Arabidopsis thaliana: one gene and its partners. The protein of the gene in region 4 interacts with the protein of the main gene of each other region in a pairwise test. Each region holds a gene or a part of one and is shown on either strand. Other genes may lie near its edges.

The links.
Region 1: the proteins of AT1G20770 (region 4) and AT5G03050 interact in a two-hybrid assay, tested with the Arabidopsis thaliana proteins (one large-scale study listed by BioGRID).
Region 2: the proteins of AT1G20770 (region 4) and SPX4 interact in a two-hybrid assay, tested with the Arabidopsis thaliana proteins (one large-scale study listed by BioGRID).
Region 3: the proteins of AT1G20770 (region 4) and AT4G24050 interact in a two-hybrid assay, tested with the Arabidopsis thaliana proteins (one large-scale study listed by BioGRID).

The regions. Positions count from the first base shown.
Region 1 is NC_003076.8:712,529-718,602, reverse strand, and holds AT5G03050 (knotted 1-binding protein), read left to right. Parts: upstream 1-2,255; 5' UTR 2,256-2,382; intron 2,383-2,614; 5' UTR 2,615-2,619; coding exon 2,620-2,682; intron 2,683-2,770; coding exon 2,771-2,920; intron 2,921-2,996; coding exon 2,997-3,070; intron 3,071-3,165; coding exon 3,166-3,301; 3' UTR 3,302-3,302; exon of another isoform or gene 3,303-4,560; intron 4,561-4,581; 3' UTR 4,582-5,376; downstream 5,377-6,074. Other genes in the region: IMPA-9 (importin alpha), read left to right, coding at 1-135; AT5G03060 (striatin-like protein), read left to right, coding at 925-1,561, 1,640-1,881.
Region 2 is NC_003076.8:4,977,830-4,982,999, reverse strand, and holds SPX4 (SPX domain-containing protein 4), read right to left. Parts: upstream 2,627-5,170; 5' UTR 2,613-2,626; coding exon 2,070-2,612; intron 1,655-2,069; coding exon 1,498-1,654; intron 1,421-1,497; coding exon 957-1,420; 3' UTR 769-956; downstream 1-768. Other genes in the region: AT5G15340 (Pentatricopeptide repeat (PPR) superfamily protein), read left to right, coding at 1-727; AT5G15320 (ATP synthase E chain), read right to left, coding at 4,342-4,389, 5,135-5,170.
Region 3 is NC_003075.7:12,495,022-12,501,406, forward strand, and holds AT4G24050 (NAD(P)-binding Rossmann-fold superfamily protein), read left to right. Parts: upstream 1-2,033; 5' UTR 2,034-2,265; coding exon 2,266-2,386; intron 2,387-2,466; coding exon 2,467-2,698; intron 2,699-2,852; coding exon 2,853-2,932; intron 2,933-3,057; coding exon 3,058-3,214; intron 3,215-3,590; coding exon 3,591-3,672; intron 3,673-4,057; coding exon 4,058-4,145; intron 4,146-4,264; coding exon 4,265-4,311; coding exon of another isoform or gene 4,312-4,335; exon of another isoform or gene 4,336-4,448; coding exon 4,449-4,640; 3' UTR 4,641-5,305; downstream 5,306-6,385.
Region 4 is NC_003070.9:7,213,956-7,219,120, forward strand, and holds AT1G20770 (coiled-coil protein), read right to left. Parts: upstream 2,943-5,165; 5' UTR 2,694-2,942; coding exon 2,526-2,693; intron 2,248-2,525; coding exon 2,130-2,247; intron 2,008-2,129; coding exon 1,861-2,007; coding exon of another isoform or gene 1,778-1,860; coding exon 1,728-1,777; intron 1,638-1,727; coding exon 1,550-1,637; intron 1,467-1,549; coding exon 1,390-1,466; 3' UTR 1,060-1,389; downstream 1-1,059. Other genes in the region: AT1G20760 (Calcium-binding EF hand family protein), read left to right, coding at 240-818; SAUL1 (senescence-associated E3 ubiquitin ligase 1), read left to right, coding at 3,857-4,393, 4,490-4,799, 5,096-5,165.

The DNA of each region.
Region 1 (6,074 bases), on a different chromosome or scaffold from region 4:
CCAAAGCTTGTGGAAGGAGAAGACGGTATCGATGCAATGGAACGGTTTCAGTTTCATGAGAACGAAGAGCTGAGAGTCATGGCGAACAGTCTTGTGGATAAATACTTTGGTGAAGATTATGGAATCGATGAATGAAATCGCCTCGGATTTTAGGGTGAGAATACAAAGAAAGTCGGATGATGAAATCAAAAGGAAACTAGTCATCTTAGCGTTTGCTTGTAACGATAGTGAGTGAGAGAGAAAGACAATAGTCTTTAGGTTTTGTCTTTTGGGTTGTTGTTGTAACTACTTGTAATACAGTTTTGTCTCACCGAAGGTTTGATTCCTTTTTGTCGTATCCTCCTTGTCACTTCAAATCCAATTATAAGATACACTGTCAATGTAATTATGATTTTTAGATACGGTGGTATTTTATTTGAATATCGAATTATCTTTTTAATCTAAGCTAAACTAAAGTAAATGATTTTACTTGTTTGAGGACATGAATGGGAAGAGAACAAAAATTTGGATTAAGTTCAATTTAACACTAAACAAAGATTCAATTATTAACTTGATCATGAATATGTTGTCCTTTCGTATTCCCGCTTCATTTTCTCTGTTTCTAGGGATTTGCTTTTTCCCTTCTCTGTAGCTACTTTCATTTTCCAGTAGCTAGCTCTTTCTCTCTTCTGGTCGTTTGAAGAAGAAGAAGATTCAAAAGATTTTCTGGGTAAGATTCTTCTTCTTCTTCCGTTGTACATTTTGGTTTAAAGATCCGCTAGTGTTAGTTTCCCCGTTCTTCTTCCGGTGGAGCTTAGAACGAATTTGAGTTTTAGGGTTTCTTTAGAAATCTGTGAAATTTTGTAAATTTGGCAAAGATAAAGAAGCTCTAGTAAAAGCTTGACCGCTGTTTGTGTTGATATCCAGGGTTAGGGTTTCGACGTCATGACTGGAAAATCATCAGCTCGTTCAAACAAATCGGGGAAGAACAAAATCTCGTCGGTGGCTACTCCGACAAGAAGAAATTTGGTTGTTCAGGAGGAGATTTTGGCGACAAAACATGAAATTCTCAAGGAGAATTATGAGAATCTGGAAAAAGATTACAAAAGTATAGAGGAAAGTTTTAAGCAGATGAATGAAATGAACGAGATAATGAAGTTTCAATATCAGAAGCAAATTAAGGAACTCGAGGAGAAAATTCTAAGCTTGCTTAAGGATTTAGAGAAAGAGAGAAGTGAGAAAGAGGAGTATATGAAGGAGATGAAGGGAATGATCAGTGAGAAAGAGGCCATTATCAATGATTTGAGTGTTAAGAATCAGGAGCTTTTGATTGCGAAAGAGGAAGAAGTGGAGAAGCTGAAGAAGATGGAGAACAAGTATGCTGAATTGAAAGAGAGATTTGATGCGGCTGAATCACAATGTTCATTCTTGAAATCGCTTTTTGATGCTGAGAATCTCGCCGGTCTAGGGAGTAGCGATGTGGCTTTCGAAAATGAGGTTATTGTGGTGGAGGATTATAATGTGACTATCAAGAATGAGGTTATTATGGTGGATGATCATAATGTGAATAACACTCCAACAGGTATGTATGTATGTTCTTGATATGTTGGTGAACCTCTCTTGTAAGAAAATTTATTTGAATATTTTCTGTTGTGTGCAGATACGATTGTGATCCTTGACGAGAGTGATGCTGAAAATGATAATCCTCATCCAAGAGAGAGTAACATAATCTCTGAAAATTCTGTTGATGTAAAACAAGAACAACAATCAGCTGGACCAAGCTCATCAAAAGTAAATCGTCTATTGTCATCATCGTCGTCATCATCATCATCATCATCAGTTGAACATGTATTCGTTGAGCTTCCCTTTAAAAGGTCCCGGGATATTTATAACAAGTCTTGAACCTTTCTCGATGCAGTGATCACTGAGCCAGAAGAAGTTGCTCACTCTTAAGTTAAGCTAGTTTAAGGTATATCTTATCGATCCTCCGGTTTATTGTTTTTTGTTTTGTCCCGGAGGTTGTAACATTTTTTGGACGAGATAGATAAAAAAAACGATTAGTATCTGATTAGGTGAATATTTTGGCTGTATGTTTTTTGTAAAATGTTTGGATTACTCGGCTTAATATCAAATCGCATCTAAATCGCTTTGATTCTTGAGTCACTCCTCCATACTTAAAACGCCAATAGCATTGTATAAGCATAATTACTTAATTAGTGATGATTATGAAACAGAGACAATAAAATAAAATAAGTCTTAAATCTAAACGCTTATTTAAATGGATTCTCGGAATAAACAAATTGGCTTTTCTTCCTCATTCTCTACACTCACTGGACTCTCTCTAAAACTTCTTCATCTTCTTCTCTCCAATTCGTACTGAGCAATTTCTTCGATCTTCATCGCGTAAGTTCTCTGTTAATCTCTTTCGGAGGTTTTTTCGTCGATCTCGATCTAGTTTCTTCCGTTCTATTGTAGAATCCTAAGCTAGATTGTTGGGGATGTAATCGTACGGTTTTTAGATTTTGAAATCGGAATCTGCTGCGATGCTTTAGCTAGTGGATTCAATCGCATCGAGTAGAAAACTTAATTCTTAATCTGTTTATGCGTTCATGAGCATCGTTTTAAATTACTGCAGTTTTGATGAACACTGAAATGGAAGAAGACGCAGGGAATGGAGGATTTCGGAAACGCATGAGAGCATCTGTAAGTTTTTTTTGAATTTGTCGTTGATCTGGTGATGATGATTTTGTGGTGGATCAGATTTTTGATTTTGTCCTGTGAAATTTGTTAGGATGAAGAGGGAAAAGGAGATTCGAGAGATGGAATTAGCCTTGATCATACCATTGAGAATGAAGAAGCTGAGACGAAACTTGTTGCTTCTGATGAGATGGAACTTAGCATTGCGCAAATTCTCGATAAGATTGAGAGCTTCACACAAACTGTAAGCTGCTCTTATCATTTCCCTGATTGCTTAAGTTTAGGAAGAATCTGATATTGATTGATGCTTCTTGTGGTAGGTTTCTAACTTGCTGGAAACAGGGAAAACAATGCTCAAGGAACTCAGTAACGAATTCGAAGAACGCTTGATCATGTGAGTTTGAAGAGATTCTATAATGTTTCTGTATGTACCATGATTGAGATGTTTATACACTCACATGTGTAACACTGTTCACATTTATGAAACAGGATACACAAGGAACATGTTGAGAAATGGCAGGACGAGATCAAGGAGTTGCGTTTGCTTGATGCATCAAACGAGGAGACTACTTCCCTCTTACACAACGCTCGCTATCTGATTCAGAATCCTAGCATTGAGCAATGAGGTAAACAGTCTAAAACCCTATCAAGAAGTACTATCAGCCATTACTAAGAATAGATTATCTTCTGTCGTCCAGTGGTGTAAGAAGTCATATATATAACTTTAGATCAACATATGGTTGGTTTGAGAATTTAGATTTCTTCAGTTTCAAAAACTTTATGATGTTTTGAAGGAAACATAGAAATAGCTTATCATGAACCTTTCTCAGCTAATTAAAACCAGAATTGTGTTTGCTTCTTTATTAGATTTTGGAGTGAATATAGAAAATGACTCATATCTCTAGTTCGATCAAAAACCAGTAACTCTTCATTCTCTTTTGCAATTCTTAAATGTTTTTCTCAGTTCTTGTTTCAACTCAATCTCCCAAAAACTCTCATGCTGAACGTAACCCTATCTTTTAAAAAATATTATTATAAAATTGTTTTCTTATAACTATAAATATTATTTTAAATGTGTATGTTTAACTGAAAAAATAGATGAACTGAAGTAGTAACAAAAGTTGAATAGTGGTGAAATTAAATTCTCTGAGGTGATATAGATGGACATGGACTAATCTATATATGAAGTTGTAAACTGTTAATTCAATTAAATTCACTGGGAAGAAAAAGGTATGGCGTTATCATGGGTTCAGGTTTAGGTGTTAGCCAATATAGGAATCTTCTACCGTTGCTCTGTTACAAAACGACAAGACTTAAATGTCGGGTCGTTACCAAACTCACTGGCTCATCTAAATATCTTTAAAACGCTAACGGCCCTGACCTTATTTCCATGCCCCACTTACATTTCAGATAATGCCAAATGGATTTTTCGGTTCAATTTTGGTTTAGTTATCTTTTTTTTCCCCCGGTTTAATTAACTTATAAATTTCACTTGCTAGAATGCAAAGACCAACTCAAAGTTGACCGACGGGGAGAGAAATTTTCATAATAGCTTATAATTATTTTTTATTTTATTGGCAACGACAAAGTTTGAATTATACATTAGGTGGAATGTCCATATCCCCAATTCAACTACCGACTTTGGATATACAGATACCTATTAATATTATAAGTTATCAGAGGCATATCTTTATATAAACAGTTATACATAGGACTTTGATATGTTGGACATATGATTAGCTAAAATAAATTATCAAATTCCAACGGCTAGTTCTCACTTATTTTATATGAAAATAATTTTAGGGATGTTATACTAACGAAACAGAGAAGACGCCACATGGAGTGATTGGACATATATATGCTTTTTTTTTTTTTTTTTTTTTTTCTTAACCACAAAAATTACAGGAAGACTGGTACAAGCTGGCCACCGATAAGGAACCTTTTGGGTTTATCTCCGAAAAAAGTCAATGATTTCAGGCAGATAATACTTAATCCAGTGGACAAAAATTATATACTCTTTCAATCATCGTTCTAGTTCACTGTATGTCAATCCATATAATTTGGGAAATTGCTTTTGTGGTGGATATACACGATCATAGAGCAAAATACAGTCTGCTAATAGCTGTTGCATAAAACGAGTTTTTCCAAAGCATTATTTATGGTTTGTGTCACTAGGTATTATGAGTCAAATATTTTCTTTGTTCATCCATCGGAGATTAACTTAGTAGTGTGGGTGGATCTGAACATAAAATATGATATGGTGTACAAGTACAATGACCAACTAATTTTCATGATTTATCAAATCCAGAAAGTATTAAGTATCGTATATGGTGGCTTGTTAACGAGTATATTTTAAAATGATAAAGGCTGTCTCACTGGTGGACATATTTTGTTCACATGTTTTGTCGGTTGTAGTAATGTAAGCGTGTATTAAAACACACATACTTTATACGGATTATGCAGATGAATTAATTCGATAAACAATTGGTATTTGACGACAAAAAATACGATCTTAAATCTTAATTCGATTAATAACAGATATTTAACGGCAAAAATATAGTGTTATATTTTAACCCGCCTAAAGACAAAAATTAAAGACGAATAAAAACTTTTTATTGCAACAATTTTGTTTTATTAGGTGAAATTAAAGACCAATCTTACCGGATAAAGTTATAAATTAATTTAAAATTTATATGGTCACTGTTTTATCGATCCTCATAACTTGTTCATTAAATTATCTAGTTTCAAAAAAGGTACAAAATCCAATACATTTTCCAGTTTACACGTTATCCATATTTTAAGAAAATTTCAAACATTTTTAGAGAAAACACCAATATACCATGTCAACTATGTATACTATTTTTGAAATGCACCAAATAATAATAAATCTAAAGATACTATACTATAAAAAGAAAAATTAACAAAACAGTGTTTATGAAACTTAAGAAATAAAACTCATCACTAAAAAAAAAAAGTGAAAAGAATAGAGTAAAAGAGAGACGAAGTTGGTAAATTAAGAAGAAGAAAAGGAAAAAAAGAAGAGTAGAATGGGGCCCACAAAAGAGGCCCAATTAAGTGGCATCACGCACAAACACACACCGTCACAAATACTCTTCTTCACACAGCTTTGAATCCATCTGTCTTCTCCTCTCTCTCTCTTCTCCATTTGCAATTATGATAATGTGAAAGCAATTCGAAGAAGAAAAGTTATCTTCGCACCTCAGCAAAGATCCAATCGATTCGATTCTTAAGCTTTTTCGTCTTCTCCGATAAGGTCACTACTTAGAAGCCGCGTTGTGGTTTAGTTGACTCCTCCAGGTTTTATCTTCAAGCTTTTTCGTCTATCAGATCTGGTGTCACTGTCTTCTCATAGGTACGATTCATTCTCTCCCTGATTC
Region 2 (5,170 bases), on a different chromosome or scaffold from region 4:
GGAACCTAAGGTTGACCATTATGCATGTATGGTAGATCTTTTGGGCCGAGCTGGTCTTATTGAAGAAGCAGAGATCTTGATGAGGGAAATGCCAGTGCCTCCGAATGAAGTTGTCCTCGGTTCGCTTCTAGGCTCGTGCAGTGTCCATGGAAAGGTGGAGATAGCCGAACGAATTAAAAGAGAGCTTATTCAGATGAGTCCAGGCAACACAGAGTATCAAATACTTATGTCCAACATGTATGTTGCAGAAGGAAGGAGTGACATTGCTGATGGGTTAAGGGGAAGTCTGAGAAAGCGAGGCATCAGAAAAATACCTGGTTTGAGTTCCATTTATGTTAATGACTCAGTACATCGGTTTAGTTCAGGAGATAGATCACATCCGAGAACGAAAGAGATCTACTTGAAGTTGAATGAAGTGATTGAACGGATAAGATCAGCTGGCTACGTCCCTGATGTCTCTGGCCTGGTTTCACATTCGGAGGGTGACTTGGAGGAAAAAGAGCAAGCTTTGTGCTGTCACAGCGAGAAATTGGCTGTCTGTTTCGGGCTTCTGGAAACAAAACCGAGTACACCTCTTCTTGTCTTCAAGAATCTGAGGATATGTCGAGATTGTCATTCGGCTATGAAGATTGTTTCAAAGGTCTATGACCGAGAAATCATCATCAGAGACAGAAATAGATTTCATCAGTTCAAGGGAGGTTCTTGTTCTTGTTCCGATTATTGGTGAACAGATATGAGAATGACAAATTTGCAAAATGAGACAAGGTTGAGACAATGGAGGAAAATTTCATTGAAAATCTATAAACGACTGTACTACAATTCAAATGCATACAGAAGTTGTGTCCTGCAAAAGGTGAAGAAGTAAAGTAAAATGTGTTAATTTTATGAAAAGTTAGGGTGAAATCAAGAAGCAAATTCTCAAAATCTTGATCAAAAAGAGCATCATTCTCTTCTGATCAGTGGGAAGGTCCAGTATCTTCCTTCTCTGAATCATCTTTGTTCCCAGAGTTTGGAGAGTTTTCAGCTGTTACCGTCTCATCATCCTCGTTCTGAAGAAGCGATGAGAATGATAAAGGGTTGTACGTCGAGCTAGCCTTTTGTAACCCTCTTATAGCTCTCATTGCAGCGAGTGTACTCTTATATATATCAAGATTTTCATTGCCGAGAGTTGAGGAAGTCTCAGCTGAGATTCTTGGGGAGTTGTGCTGATGTGAGCTTGAGTGTGCTTGCACTGCGCTAGAAGACTCTACAACTTCCGCTTCTGAAGGAAAAAGAAGCTCAAGATTGGCCTCACATTCACGGACTAACCTAGTAAGTGGCTCTGTAGTAAAGAAGGGTTGATGGAGAACAAGCTGTGTGAAAGGCAAACGTAAAAGTCCACCTGTTCTTTTATCGTACTTCTTCAAAATCTTGACAAGTCCTAGAATGGAAGATGTTTTTAGCATACAGTAGTAATGTGTTACAAAAATTGGTTTTCTAGTTAAAATATATGATTACCTGCAAAATTAAGGGAGCTGTAGTTTTTCAGGAGCACCATCTCGCCATGAATGGTAACAAGGTCTCTCCGAATATCCATCATTTCTTCGCTGAACTCACTTTCTGATGCAAATTCCCCATTCTTTTCTTTAACTTGCTCGATTCTTTCCTTGAGCTCCTGTTTGCAAAATGATGAACACACACTAATCAATTAGAGCTTCATATGTCTATAAACAAGCAGAGCAAGAAGATGACCAAGGCTCATAAACCATACTAATATCTAAGCAATGTGATCTCGATTGTGATATACCACAGAGCAAATAAACCACTGTATCATTACATCAATACAGACAAACTCACTTGAAGCACAGAGAAACTAGATCCAATTTGATTAGAGATCATCACTAGAACTACCTCCGGTTTCAACTACTAGCAATTTTGTTCTAGGATTCGAGATTAATCATCCAATCGAAGATAACCTATGGAATGATTCAATTCTAGAAACTTGTTTAGCTTCTGAATCAGTAATCACATGAACCAAGTTCTAACTTGACCTAAAATCCTGAAGCTAGAATAAATTCGGAAGCAAAAACCTGTAATCTGATAACGAAATCTTCTTCCTTATCAACGTAAAAATCGTTAAACTTCTCAAGTTCATCGTTAAGTATCCTCACAAACGAACCCTGGAGATCTTCCGATGGCCTGACGCCGGGAACCACACCGCCGTCGTCGGCGGCGGAAGAGATGTTAGTAGTATCAGCAAATACTGGACGCGAATCGTTGTGATCGGAATTGGCGGGTCCAAAATCGGCGGAGTAATAAGGATAATATTTGAGAAGCTTTTTTAAAGGTTTATAGCAAAGGAACTTGTCTCTCCACTCTGGTAAAGTTTCTTCGAGGTGAGTACGAAACTCTTTGCCGAATTTCATGTAGAAAAGGCTCTGTGTTGGATCTAAATGGAGAAGACGGAGATTGCGACGGTGCAGAGCTCGTGGATAAGAACGAACGCGAGAGAGAGAGAGAAAAGCGCGAGAGCAAGGAATCTTACAGAGAGAGAGAGATAGAATCTGATGAAGTGGACGTGGATGCTTCTGATTAAATATTGACCATTGATCTTCTTCGTTTTTTTTCTTCATTAACTTGTTAATTTGGATATTTATCGATCAAGAAATTCGGAACAAATATGCATTGGTGGTTAAGTACTAATTGAAATAATGTGGTAAAATTGTTACTTGAAGTAATTATGTAAATGTAGTGAATAATTTGCGGATGTAATTATGTGGAATAATGTTTTGTTTCAATAATAAAATATTAAGATGCTCCAATAGAAAAAGGTTAGATTAAAAGTTAGCTGGACGACATAAATTGGCACAAGCGAATCAATTATCATTAAAATTCATCTAAACAAAGTGATTCTGTTCGTTTTTCTTCGGCATTTGATTATGTTAATTTTAAAAAAATCAGCAAGTTGTGATTATATGCATATACAATATGTCCATGAAGTTCCATGAAATAACATCACAGAATTATAATAGCTTTATCTAAAGTGGCTCTTAACCAGATCGTCAACCTGAGATGAGCCTCTGACGAGCTTGAACGGGCATGCACCTATAATAAAATAGAAAGAACCAAAAAAACTATTGAATAATATTCGTTATATTCCAATAGATTAGATTCGTCTTCCCATATAATGAGATTCCCTTATATTTTACGTATAACTATAAGCGGATCCAGAATTAAATCCACTTATATTCATAGACTATATCACTTTAAACAGTACTTATCACTAAAAACTATACAATTAAATGTTGATGTTATAGTCACGACTCTAAATTCTTATTGGCTAAAGTGTGTGACCAGGGTTTGTTTTTATATATTTAAACATATTTATTCATGCCTCCAACATTTAGGCATCTGTAGTTTCGTTTTTAATAGTAGGAAGAAGAAAAAAGAAGGGAATGAAAAGGTGAGGAACGACTTTAACTACTGCTTTAGCTCAAACGGGACGTTGACAACTTCTTCATATGGTACTATCAAGAGCCTGAATAATGTCAGCCTTTAAGTGCTCAAAGTCTTCAACACAAAAAGTCCAAAACTGAAGCCGAAATCGACGCGCTCATTGTGCGAATGGTAAGAAACTTGAATTTCGCAGTTCGACGACAACCACGCGTGTTACGTTTGGGCTGACTTTTATATTGCCCATTGGGCTACAATAAGCTCAGTTTTTTTCATATTATCCATAGACCCACATAATTCAAAAACGTAGGTCGACAAATGAATATGTCGCCACTGAAGTAATGGTAATTTACACATTGGTAGTTGTTTGAACTTTTAAGCCGTGGTGGAAAGTGTAAGAGAGATCCCGAAATCAAATTCAAACTACATGATTGCTTGGATTGAATCAGACAACAAACCAGAAACGACAATAGCAATTTTTCTTTGATTAACTCAGATACACAAGAAGTTGGAACATGCTTTTTAGGACCAATTTTTTTCTCCCTTTCTTAGATTGTGTCCAATGGGACCAAGTAGAGTAATATAAGGACTCTTGCAAAACGAAGTATATAACGCAAAACCGGGACACTGAGGTCCTTAGTGTTATAGATAATCTGGTTAAGAGGTGAGGTGTATGTGAATGTGAACGGTGTTATTGGATGACAACAAATGGAAAGATGTTCTTGACTCGGGTTTTAAGCCAATGGCAATTATGGCTCCAAAAAGGTCTTAAAACCGTATAATATGCTTTTCAAAAACACATTTGTTCCTTCTTATGCTAAAGGATGAATCATGAAAGAAGAAATCAAACTAACCGGGGAGACATCACCCCCAGCTTTTGGCATCTTATTGTAAAGAAAGAAGAGTGGTTTAATGATGAGCGGTGGCTTCAACCTTCTTCTGTGACATCGATTTGATCTGCAGGTGAAAAAGCAATTTGTTGGTACTTATCTTAGCATATACTACTAATATTCAAGAACATTTCAGGTATAGAGACATCTAAGTTATAAAACATTTCCGGTTTGCAAAGAGATAATCAGTGGAGGAACCAGGATGAGCAAACAACAAGATTGAACAATGTAAACCTTTTTAGAGTTTGCAACATGATGAATGAACCAGAGATTTTGCTCAAGGCATCACATCACTGGCTCAGCTACTCAAAGAGAACAGAGGAGACTAACAACCAAAAACATTTAAAAGCTAGTAACTTCAGAAGCAAAAACCAGAGAAAGACACCACAAAGTGGTGTTTCAACAAAGTCGTTTAAAAATTGCTGACGACTTGTAGAAAAGTAGCATATGATAATCTAAAAGGGATTATAAGATCAAAACTCAGGCATAATCAGTGGACTAGCAGAAACAACAAACTAACAGAAGGAGTAAAGCAGCATTCTGCAATTCACATCTATAGCTCGAGAGCACTGTAAATTCAAACAAAAATTTGCTATCTCACTCTTAACTACGATCAAAATCATAAATTTTCTGATGATAAAATTTGTGTAGCCACCAATTTCGAGATAACATGTCACCAACAATTCAAATGTTACAATCACCAGATGATGAAAACAATTCATTAATCAATATTATTGCAGATTCATAGCAGATACGAGCAATATAATCAACAATTTCGATAAAAACAAGACAAAATTGAGATAGAATATGACCTTAAGGACCTTGAGCTTCATGTTCCCATAGACGAG
Region 3 (6,385 bases), on a different chromosome or scaffold from region 4:
GGTGGGTAAGAAAACACTGATTGAGAGTAAGAGTTCAATATTCACTCGAACTCACTTTTGGATAAGCGTAATCGAGCTACCAACGTGACAATGAGCTGGAATCTTGTACTCAAGACACAACAAGGACAATACGAAAAAGGCAAGGAGGGAGAGAAGCTTTGCATCCCCAATCATCTATTGTCGTTTGTATGAAAGGGAACACACATGAAGCTCTCAGATGTGCCAAACAAGAGAGATAAAGAAAGCTTCACATAAGCATCATGGTTTTTGAATGTGTTCAAAGTTTGTAAAGAATGAGATTTTTTGTGTGAATTTGGGGATATAAACGACATGTGAATATGTGATAAACTGAATATATTAATTTCGTTCTCCTTCTACAATTTAACAGAATTTTATTTTTATTATTTTTATCAATTTCATACTTGTAAAACTCTCTGTCCTTCTCTTATTGATATTTGATTTGATTTTTTTGTATAGTAAATATGTTCATCCGTGAGAGATGCATGTGAGCTTTATATGTTCAACAAAATTTCAAGCATATATAATCATTGGCTGAATCCTTACAAAAACTTATAACAATATGACTTAAAAACGGTATTGGATGTTACGGAGACTGAATTATTGAAAAATAATTGATCATTAGCAAATAATAACCAAACTAATTAGTAAACAAATTAAATATATTTTTTTGTCTATGACCGTGTTCCAAGGGAGAGGAGAAGCGATCCAGCACGCGGTGAGTAAACCTCACGTGCGTAAACCTTCTCACAAGATTCTTCTTTAACGTTTCTACGAGACTAATTACTTCCTTATTCATCCACATACCACATTGCCTCTCCTGCCGTTTTCACGTTTACTGCTCTAACTACTCGTTGTCTCCATGTACTTACTTTATATTGTCTACGGTAGTCCCAAGACCGCGCTTATTCCGAGATTGATATAGGAAATACAAGTATTTAAAAAAAATTAGGATTAGTAAATGAGGAAAGAATAATGAGATAATGAGTGACACTAAGTATACAACTAATACGTCACGATTGTATAATTGTCCCCTACAAGTAGTCAAACCTTAGCCCTTTTGACCGTTAATATCTTGCATTTGACGATAATCTTTTCCGTGTTTTGATCTGTTTCCACTGTACAAAACTAAACGTTAATAAGCTCAGTATTGGGTACGTTAGTAAAAAATCAATCATAAAATATAAAATAATCTCACTTTAAGCTCCAACCAGAGACTGACAGCTGTTAGTTAGTTTGAATACTCAATAGTAATCAATTAGGTTTGACCAAAATAGCTTCATAAATTATTCATCAATCCAATAAGTCATTTAAGTGATAATTACCAAAAGGCACATGATAGCTCTCTAAATATAGATATACCAAAATCAATCCATACCAAAAGTTGATGATTTCTTTCCCTCTACACCATCGATATGTTGAATAGTTTAGATTTTTTCCAATATTTGTTTAATTATTATTTATATTGCCTTTATATATCAAAAGTGAAAAAATCCAAACAAAATCTTGTCAAAGAAATTAACACTGGATAAATATTTAGTTATTTTTGGATAACTTGTTTTGAAATTGAGTTTACCATTCCAAAATCAGCTTAACTTTGTCCAAAAATAAGGAAAAAATCAGTCTATATTTAACACATGTATTCTTTGTAAAGATTAAATCTAAAATTCTTTAAGACAAACTTGTGTTTTTTTTTCTGTATACATTGTTTCCCTAGTATTTTATGTTTCATCGTAATGCAGCATCTTTTGCTAACCTCTCTAGTAGGTTTTAAACAAGAATGAATATTGTTGACAATAATATCATAATAAAAATATTATACTGTATACAACAACTAGACCTACCACTACGAAATGATTTAAAACAAGAAGAGAGTACAAGAAGAATATGATAAATTTAATTTTAAAAAAATTCACCGATCGTATTGATAAAAAAGTTGTATCTACTTTTCTCTCTTTTTACCTCATCAATTAAAAAGTTGACTATAAATAACACATTACTATTTCTTCTCTCTCGCCAGGCGGCGTTGCCTACAAAAACCTGACAATCGAAACACAGTTTTTCTGATAATAATATAGACATTTACCATTATGCCCTTCTAACTGAAAACGGCAATTACGTTCCTTGTTATTTGTTTTCTTCCTTCTCCTTCTGTTTCTTTTTTGTGGCTTTAATTTTTTTCATATTAATTCGGAAAGAGAAAGACTCTTCACTCCCATAACAGTCGCCGGTAACAGAATCACTCCGATGATCGAGACTGGTAAATACCTTCTCGGCGCCGCCGGTGCTAGCGGTTTCGGCTCTAAATCCACCGCCGAGGAAGTTACCGAGAACTGCGACCTTCGTTCCATCACAGCGGTTATCACCGGTGAGTTCTTTTCCTCTCTGCTTCGTGTTTTCCGGTGAGTCGAGTCGTCAGGAGATTCTAACTAGTTGATTTGGTGATAGGTGCGACGTCGGGGATCGGAGCGGAGACGGCGAGAGTTCTGGCGAAACGAGGAGCGAGGTTGATTTTTCCGGCGAGGAATGTGAAAGCAGCGGAGGAAGCAAAAGAGAGAATCGTTTCTGAGTTTCCGGAGACAGAGATCGTCGTTATGAAGCTTGATCTTAGTTCTATCGCCTCCGTACGAAACTTCGTCGCCGATTTCGAGTCTCTTGATCTTCCTCTTAACCTTCTCATGTAAGTCTTTAATCTTCTTTTTTTCCTAAGAATCATATGCATGTATATTTACATAACTACGTGTTAATCTAAGTTCTTAATTCGGATTAATTTGTTTTAAACATTATTGTTATGTTATGTGATTATTTTATTATTTATGCAATTGTGGAATCAGAAACAACGCAGGCAAGTTAGCACATGAACATGCAATATCTGAAGACGGGATCGAGATGACATTTGCTACTAATTATCTAGGTATAGTAGTATTTTCCTAATTATACGATTCCCTTAGTCTATGACAGATCTTAATTACCCTATATACTAGTATTACTTTATTGTTAATAGCCTTCTTAATTTTTTAATCCATTCACAATGATCAGGCCATTTTCTCTTGACCAATCTTTTGCTAAACAAGATGATTCAAACGGCAGAGGAAACAGGAGTTCAAGGACGTATCGTTAACGTTACGTCCGGTATTCACGGATGGTTCTCCGGCGACTTGATCGAATATCTCCGACTCATTTCACAACCCAAGTGGTAAGTTTGTGTTATGTTCTGGTTGAGTCATGAGGTATAAATGTTTCATTCCATACTTAATTGTTATCTATACATCAAAACTCCAAAGCAGAAGTGTAAATAATGTACCATCTACAATCCTTATATCAACCTAATAGCTAGAAGCCTAGAACTATAAATGAGAGAGTAGGATTGGTGTTCTTGAGAGGTGAATAAAAACTTGTCGAGGAATTTACTTTTTACCAAAGCAAAAAGCTGCGTAGTTGTTAATGTTTTGATTGATGAGTGACAGTAACTCGATAGGAGGGTAATAAATGGGAAAAGAGAAGTAAAAAGGTTTTGACTTTTGACCTTTGGAAAATGTAATAAATCTTTCTTTTTGGTTTTGATCGATTAGTCAATTCGATGCGACACGTGCGTATGCTCTCTCGAAGCTTGCCAACGTTTTGCATACCAAGGAGCTCTCTTCTAGACTCCAGGTCTCTTTCTCTCCCACACCTATCTCTCTTATTTACTTGCATCCATTTAATTATTCCCCCAAAAGTTAATTATTCCCAAAAAAAACTCTGAAGCATTATGGTAGAAATTAATGTGTGTCATAATGGTCAAATTTATTGATTTTTCTTAGTGTAAAAGAAAAGAGTGAAAGGTATGGGAAGGGGACAACAAGAAACCTAGATAACTAGGAGATTTGTATTCTAACCAAATATATGAAAGTGTTAGTTAAGTCACACACTACAAAGTTTATTTTTGACTATTGACCATAGTTAGGATTTAGGACAATCATGTGGGTCATTAGCATAAAGTGATTAAAGTTTAGTATATAAAAATAGAATCTAATTGTAAAAGAAAACAAAATTGCAGAAAATTGGAGCGAATGTTACGGTAAATTGCGTACACCCAGGAGTTGTTAGAACCCGGTTAACAAGAGACCGAGAAGGTCTATTGACAGGTTGGTTTATTTTTTTTTTTCCTCATTACCTTGTCATATTATTTTATCATGAATTATATGATCATGATTAAGATTCCAAATTATATCTATATGACTTCCTTTTGTCTTTACCTACTCAGATCTCGTCTTCTTCCTGGCTTCCAAGCTCGTTAAGACCGTCCCTCAAGTAAATAATTGTTATTTTCGTTAGTTATAAAGTTTGTAACATAATCTGTGGTGGATAAGTTATTCTTTTTGTTTTTAATCCTGTTTAAGATTATTGGATTTATGTGCTACTTTTTTTTTGTTTTGGCATGGGATTAGGCAGCAGCAACGACGTGTTACGTGGCAACAAATCCAAGACTGGTGAACGTATCGGGAAAGTATTTTACGGATTGTAATGAAACGACACCGTCTGGACTCGGAACCAACTCCAGCGAAGCTACCAAATTATGGGCTGCTTCTGAGATTCTGGTTACTCAACATTCCAAGACCAGTTTCGACCCATGTAGCTAAGAAGAAGAAAAAGTAATTATCTTATCTTCATATACCCCCTTAGGAAAAAAGTTATACTAGTATATCTTAGTAGATGAGAGAAAATATCACAAAAGTTTAGTTGATATATACAAATAGTATCCTGTTTCTATAGTGCGAATGCGAAGTTGATGTAGTCTTTGTTTATACTAACGTTATATTAAACAATATGAGAACAATTAATTATATAAGATATATTTGCTGAAGAGTTCAACTTGGACTAATATACTAAAGTTTTAGAATAATAAAGTTAAGTAGGAAATCATAATGTCAATCATTAGTTTCGAAGTGCTCGGAAGTTTGATAATTATGTGATTAAACTCATTTGGACTGATCTGTGAGAGATCTCTCCCTCTCTCTTATCGTTTTCATTTTTTCTTTCTTTCCAATATAATCGTTTATGACATTGAATATTCATATGTCCATGTGATACTATTTGGATGTTGATTTTCCTTTAATAATGAGTTTGCACTTTGCATTGATTGGTTACCCTTTTGCTTTAATAGCTAAATCTAAGTCGTGAAGAATAGAGGAAAATCTGTATGTTTTTAAATGTTGTACTCGAACTAATATTCTGCCTCTATACACATTTTTCATTTTGAAGTAAATTACAGAAATGGTATAACGAAACTATTAAAATATGGATAAGAAATCTACAAAGAAAATGAAAGAATAAAAATCATATAATATGAAAAAGGTGAGAAAAAGATAGATAGATGAGAATCGGTTAGAGATGGGACTTAGGACCATTTAAAATGGCGCATGATAATACTTTTGAGCATGGGTCTCTTTTCTCTATCTTCTCTTTTTCTTTTCTATCAAAAGGACCCTACTAACATGCGCCAGGGGTTTTCACTTTTCACTTCTGAAAAAGATCTCTCGTGCGCCATCAAACTTGCTCCGTCCTTACGGAATTTCAATCATTACATGAAGAAGAAAAGGAAAAAGGTTGGTGCAAAGAAGAGAGCTTAACACTTAAACAAGGAACAATGAACATGCTTTCTTAGTTTTAAGTTTTAACAATACTTTATAGAGTAAATCTAGCATTGTAAAACAAAACAGTTCACACGTGACATACATTTGATAAATTAATCTTACAGCTTTAAAAAGTGTTATTCGGTGATAAAATATTACTTTAGCAATAGCAAGAATTTAGATAGTTGTTTAGGAAAAGTTACGGGCTAATAACTCATAATGGACCTATACCTTATTTGAAGAAGGCATTAACTATGAAATTAAAAGCCCACATGTATTGAGCCCCCTAGAGTCCTTAATGCGAACTTCATCTTCTCCTTCTTTTTTTTTTGAATTTGCAATGGTTAGTAAATACTAATAGTAAAACTATGTAGAGCTGCTTATTGGTTGGTCGTCTATGTAGATAATAGCTACTACTATAAAAGTTTTGTTTTGGCTCGTCTTTTGCCATCAATATTTACAAACGGTGATGTTTTAATACCACCAACTTACATGTGGTGTAATCTATTAAAATTGAAAATAGGGAAGCCAATAAGATAACCAGTTATAAGTTAGCCCATTAGTACACATGAAAACTATATTAAAACAATCAATTAATCGAAACATTGAACCCACCCTACACTAAACCAGCCTAACCCCTCCTTTAAAAGATGAAATGTTACGTACGGTGTCTCCATCTCCAAGGAGTCAGTCAAACTCTCAACCCTTTTGAGTGTAAGTATTTGCCTTGTACGACAATCTTTTGCTCTTTA
Region 4 (5,165 bases):
AACATAGTGTCTCTCGCTTTAACACATCAATCCATCTATCAAAATACTAAATCAAATCTTTCAGTTGTGACGAATAGACATTGAACTGATCTTTTAATTTCTACAAGATTTTGAAAATCCGTATTAAGTTCATGCTTTTCAGATTTGCGATGTTACATTTACCTTCTGTATGCTGAATCATTTAGTTATCTATTCAGAGTCTTAACCAAGCTTAGCATTTTCAATATCAACATTGGCAGGATGGAGATTACTTTGGATCAGGTGACGATTTTGGTGGAAACACAGCAAGAGCAGATTCTCCAAGTTCAAGAAGCTTTGGCGCCCAGAGAAAGAGCCAATTTGCATTTGATGATTCAGTCCCCAGCACTCCACTCTCAAGATTCGGGAACTCTCCACCTCGGTTCAGCGATGCATCAGCTAGAGATAATAACTTTGATAGCTTCTCCAGGTTCGACTCCTTCAACACCAGTGAAGCAGGCGCCGGGTTTTCTTCGCAGCCCGAGAGACTGTCTCGGTTTGATTCCATCAACAGCTCCAAAGACTTTGGTGGAGCTGCCTTCTCTAGGTTCGATTCAATTAACAGTTCCAGAGACGTCACTGGAGCTGAGAAATTTTCGAGGTTTGATTCCATCAACAGTAGCAAAGACTTTGGTGGTCCCTCGCTATCAAGATTCGACTCTATGAATAGTACAAAGGATTTCAGTGGTAGCCATGGATACTCGTTTGATGATGCAGACCCGTTTGGTTCCACAGGTCCCTTTAAAGTCTCTTCGGATGAAAGCCCTACGAAAAGGTCAGATAACTGGAACTCCTTCTAGCCTCGGTTACTATCGTTCCCTTTTATAATCCTTTTTCCTCGCTTGATGAACTTGTGCTTGTTTCATAATTATAATTTTTTCACCAAATTCTGGTTTTGGATGAGACACTAGCGTTAGTCTATTTGTAATTTGTAAAGTTTGTCTCTGTATTGGTTTCCTACTGTATCTCTGTTATGTTATGAATTCATTTGCTTTATATGAAAGAAATATTTGAGGATTTCGTCGTGGATAAGAGATTAAAGGACAATGAAATGATTTTATTTTTCTCCATTTTTACTGTTTCTCTTCTCCAAAATGTTTTATTATTTTGATATATCCTTAGCTCGAGGTCTTGTAAGAACTTCTGGTAACATTTAACCAAATCAAAACAGATACACTTGAAGGTGGTAGCTACAAAATTGAAAATCGAGCTAATGCATTGGTACATTCTAACCCTCTGACTCGAAGAAGATATGATTTTCGCAGCATCAAACTGCTATGATCAATGTAACATCAGTCTTTGAGGTTGGCTCCATTCTGTTTCCGTTGAATCCACTGAGCACATTTCAGGATCAGTTGTTACCAAGGAACTTCACTTCTCTGTGATCCGCTCAAAGGCAGATATCATCGATGCACGCATGTTGGCTATTTCCACCAGAGTTTCAAGAGCTGTCCAAAGACGAGAGAAAAAAGAGTTTCAGTTGTAAACTGGAATCTTCCTTTGAGTATACTTGTGGTGATGAGGATGTTACCTGTTTCAAATGATTGTTGAGCGCCACGCAGCTTAGGAGAGACTAGACCTCCAAATACTGACAGAGATTTTGCCCGTTCTTTCTTTATCTGGAGCTCAACACATTCGAATTAGTAAAACCATCGTCCTACATTTTGAAAACAAGTAGAGTTTCTGCAGACGGTTAAATGATTGCTCACCTCTTCATCAGCTGCTAAAACGGTTTCATCCTTGGCTGATGGTTTCTCTTCTATCGAATTACATAAAGCAAGAGATGATGAAACACCGACAAACAAAGGGCAGAGAATAACCAACAGATGAGTCTTTTTTTACCAGAAACTCCTCGATGTCGTAGCTGTGGGCTGAGAGGTGAGCCTATCTCCGAATCTGTATCAGTAGAGAAGTCTTTGCCTTTCCTGCTACCGCCCTTGGAAGCCCACTTGGACAAAGCAAAATGAGGTACTGATCCCAAAGATTCAACTACAAGAGTCCATAGACATACACTGTATATAAGTTGCTTCCCCGCAAAAAAAACATAAATTCATAGCATATAAACGTAAACCATTGAACTATCAAACGCCCAAAGCATAAGCCAAACTTACCATCTTGGTCAGTCACTTGCAATGTTGAAGAAGCGGGATGATACTTAAGATCTAAGAGAGTGCTGTTGATGCGTAAAGTTCCCATAGAATGTCGAGCACTAGCTAGATCAAACCATCCCTGCAAAAATAACACATTTCAGTTCCATACCAAATAAGTTAATTAAGGCAGCAGACTCTCACTCTCATCATATCAGTGATATGAATCCACAAAAAAGTTTCTCCTCATGGCTACTATAGCTAGATAATCAACGAAAACGTTTCCCACGCAATCCTTTTTAATCCCAGATTCAATTCAATTCAACACAGAATATCTCAAGTCATCTATACATCAGAACATAAGAATCATTCCCATAAGATCCCATTTTAGCTCAATACACCAAATATCATTCCAATTACCTCTCGAAGCTTAGAATTCACAGAATCCATAAGCGTTAAATATCCATCCAACGAATCTAGAAACTGCAAAACATTCTCATCTCCTCCCCCTTTTCCCAGCTCAGTTTTCACTTCTGATTCTTTATTCACATCCACTGATTCATCTCCTTCCTCGTAAATCTCCGCCATCGAAATTTAGCTCCAACACACGCGAATCAACAAATCGAAGCTTACACGAGGAAGACAACGTAAAGCGATCGAAACAGAGACAGATCAATTTCTCGAGTAAACGAGGCTATTTTCGTAATATTTCAATTAGTAAAGGCCCAATAGCCCAAGTAGAAGACAACGTAAAGCGATCGAAACAAAGACGGATCAAACGAGGCTATTTTCGTAATATCCAATTAATAAAGGCCCATTAATACCAATAGCCCAAGTCGAAAGATTACCTCTTTCGGGTCAAACCGGTTATGTTTATGGGTGGGTGGGTAGAGCAAGTCGAGTGTGTGTGAACACAGCGCCAGGCTGTTTGTCTCAGTTTGTCAAGTTGGCGTTTGGTGGCTCCACGTCTCTCTCTATCTCTCTCTCTCACATGACTTTTCGATTTTAGTCAACCTTTCGTGCTTTTCTCTTAAAAATTCGATTTTTTCTTCAACCCATCTTCTTCTCTGTTATTTCCTCTCGCTTTTACCTGTCTCTCTCGTTCTCGCACGGGGATAGAATCAACTCTGCTCGAGATTTTAGTAGGAGGCAAGCTCGATTGCTTGCAATTAGATCCATGGATGAAGAAGAACTCACACTTTCTCGCGCGTTTTTAGCTCAAGGAGATTTTTGAAGAAGTGGTCGTTTTCGAATTGTCAACTTCAGAAGAAGAATCAACTTTGGTTTTTTCTTTTCCCTTCTCTGTATAGCTTTGAGGAGGCGCTTCTTCAACTGGAACAGGCTGGTGTGCTTTTTTTTTTATCTCTTTTGGTATTTTTGAAATGCTTCATGAGACGTTGTTTCTCTTCTTTATCTTTTTGACGAATATTGCTAAATTTGGTAATCTTGCTATATAAGGGTTCATGGGAGTGATGATTTTGGGACACTGTTACTTTTCGTATTTTAGGTTATAGTTATGATTGAAAGTTTGAATTTTGTTTCCTTGGCTGTGAAAGAATCCGGGAACCAAACTGTGGTACTATCCCTTTTTGTGTTTCCAAAACTTTCTCATTCATTTACTATCAAATTTCGACACTTTCTTACCAGACTCTCTTGCATTGATGTATCCAAGTGGGTTTTCATCTAGGATCCTATGTTTCATAACAATGAGGTATTTGCTTGTACATTTGCAGTGAGTTTGAAGGATTAAGATGGTTGGAAGCTCGGATGGTGACCAGTCAGATGATAGCTCTCATTTTGAGCGAGGAGTAGATCATATCTATGAAGCATTCATCTGCCCATTGACAAAGGAGGTTATGCATGATCCTGTCACTTTAGAGAATGGTCGAACATTCGAGCGTGAAGCCATTGAGAAATGGTTCAAGGAGTGTCGGGACAGTGGGAGACCTCCTTCTTGCCCTTTGACATCTCAGGAGCTGACTAGCACTGATGTAAGCGCCAGCATAGCTCTGCGTAACACTATCGAAGAGTGGAGATCCAGGAATGATGCTGCCAAGCTTGACATTGCTCGTCAGTCACTGTTTTTAGGGAATGCTGAGACAGATATTTTGCAAGCTTTGATGCATGTGCGACAGATTTGCAGGACCATCCGATCAAATAGGCATGGTGTACGCAACTCTCAGCTTATCCATATGATCATCGACATGTTAAAAAGTACTAGCCATAGAGTGCGGTATAAGGCTCTACAAACTCTGCAAGTTGTCGTTGAAGGAGATGATGAGAGCAAGGTTGAATCTGATTTCTTTTCATCTCTGCTGAATATTTAGTGTAGCATTTTAATGGGAAATTGAGCGGGTGCTAATTAAATTTTCAGCATCTTGCAGGCGATAGTAGCTGAAGGGGACACTGTGCGTACACTAGTTAAGTTCTTATCACATGAGCCATCAAAGGGGAGGGAGGCAGCTGTTTCCTTGCTGTTTGAGCTCTCTAAATCAGAAGCTTTGTGCGAGAAGATTGGTTCCATTCATGGAGCACTAATATTATTGGTTGGTCTGACAAGCAGCAACTCAGAAAATGTTTCAATTGTTGAGAAAGCTGATAGAACCTTGGAAAATATGGAGAGGTCAGAGGAAATTGTTAGGCAGATGGCTTCATATGGTAGACTCCAGCCTCTTCTAGGCAAACTCCTTGAAGGTGAAAGAATTTCTTTTCTTTGTTTGGTTTTAATATAACAATTACGCTCTCTACTTCATTTGCATAAAACAAGTTATCATCTTCCTTCAGTTGGTAAAATTCTTCCTTCAGTTGTTCGGATGCATCACAGTGTTATGGTATTCTGCCTTAGAATTTGTTTGCTCTAGGAATTTTACATGTTCGCTTGTAAGAAGAGTCAATTTTCTTCTACCCAGATGGTCAAATCTTTCATTATTTTCCTCTGTTATATGGCAAATTTCTTGTATGAATAATGACACCACATGTGAAATCTGCAGGTTCACCTGAAACAAAACTCTCTATGGCTTCCTTTCTCGGGGAGCTTCCCTTAAATAACGATGTGAAGGT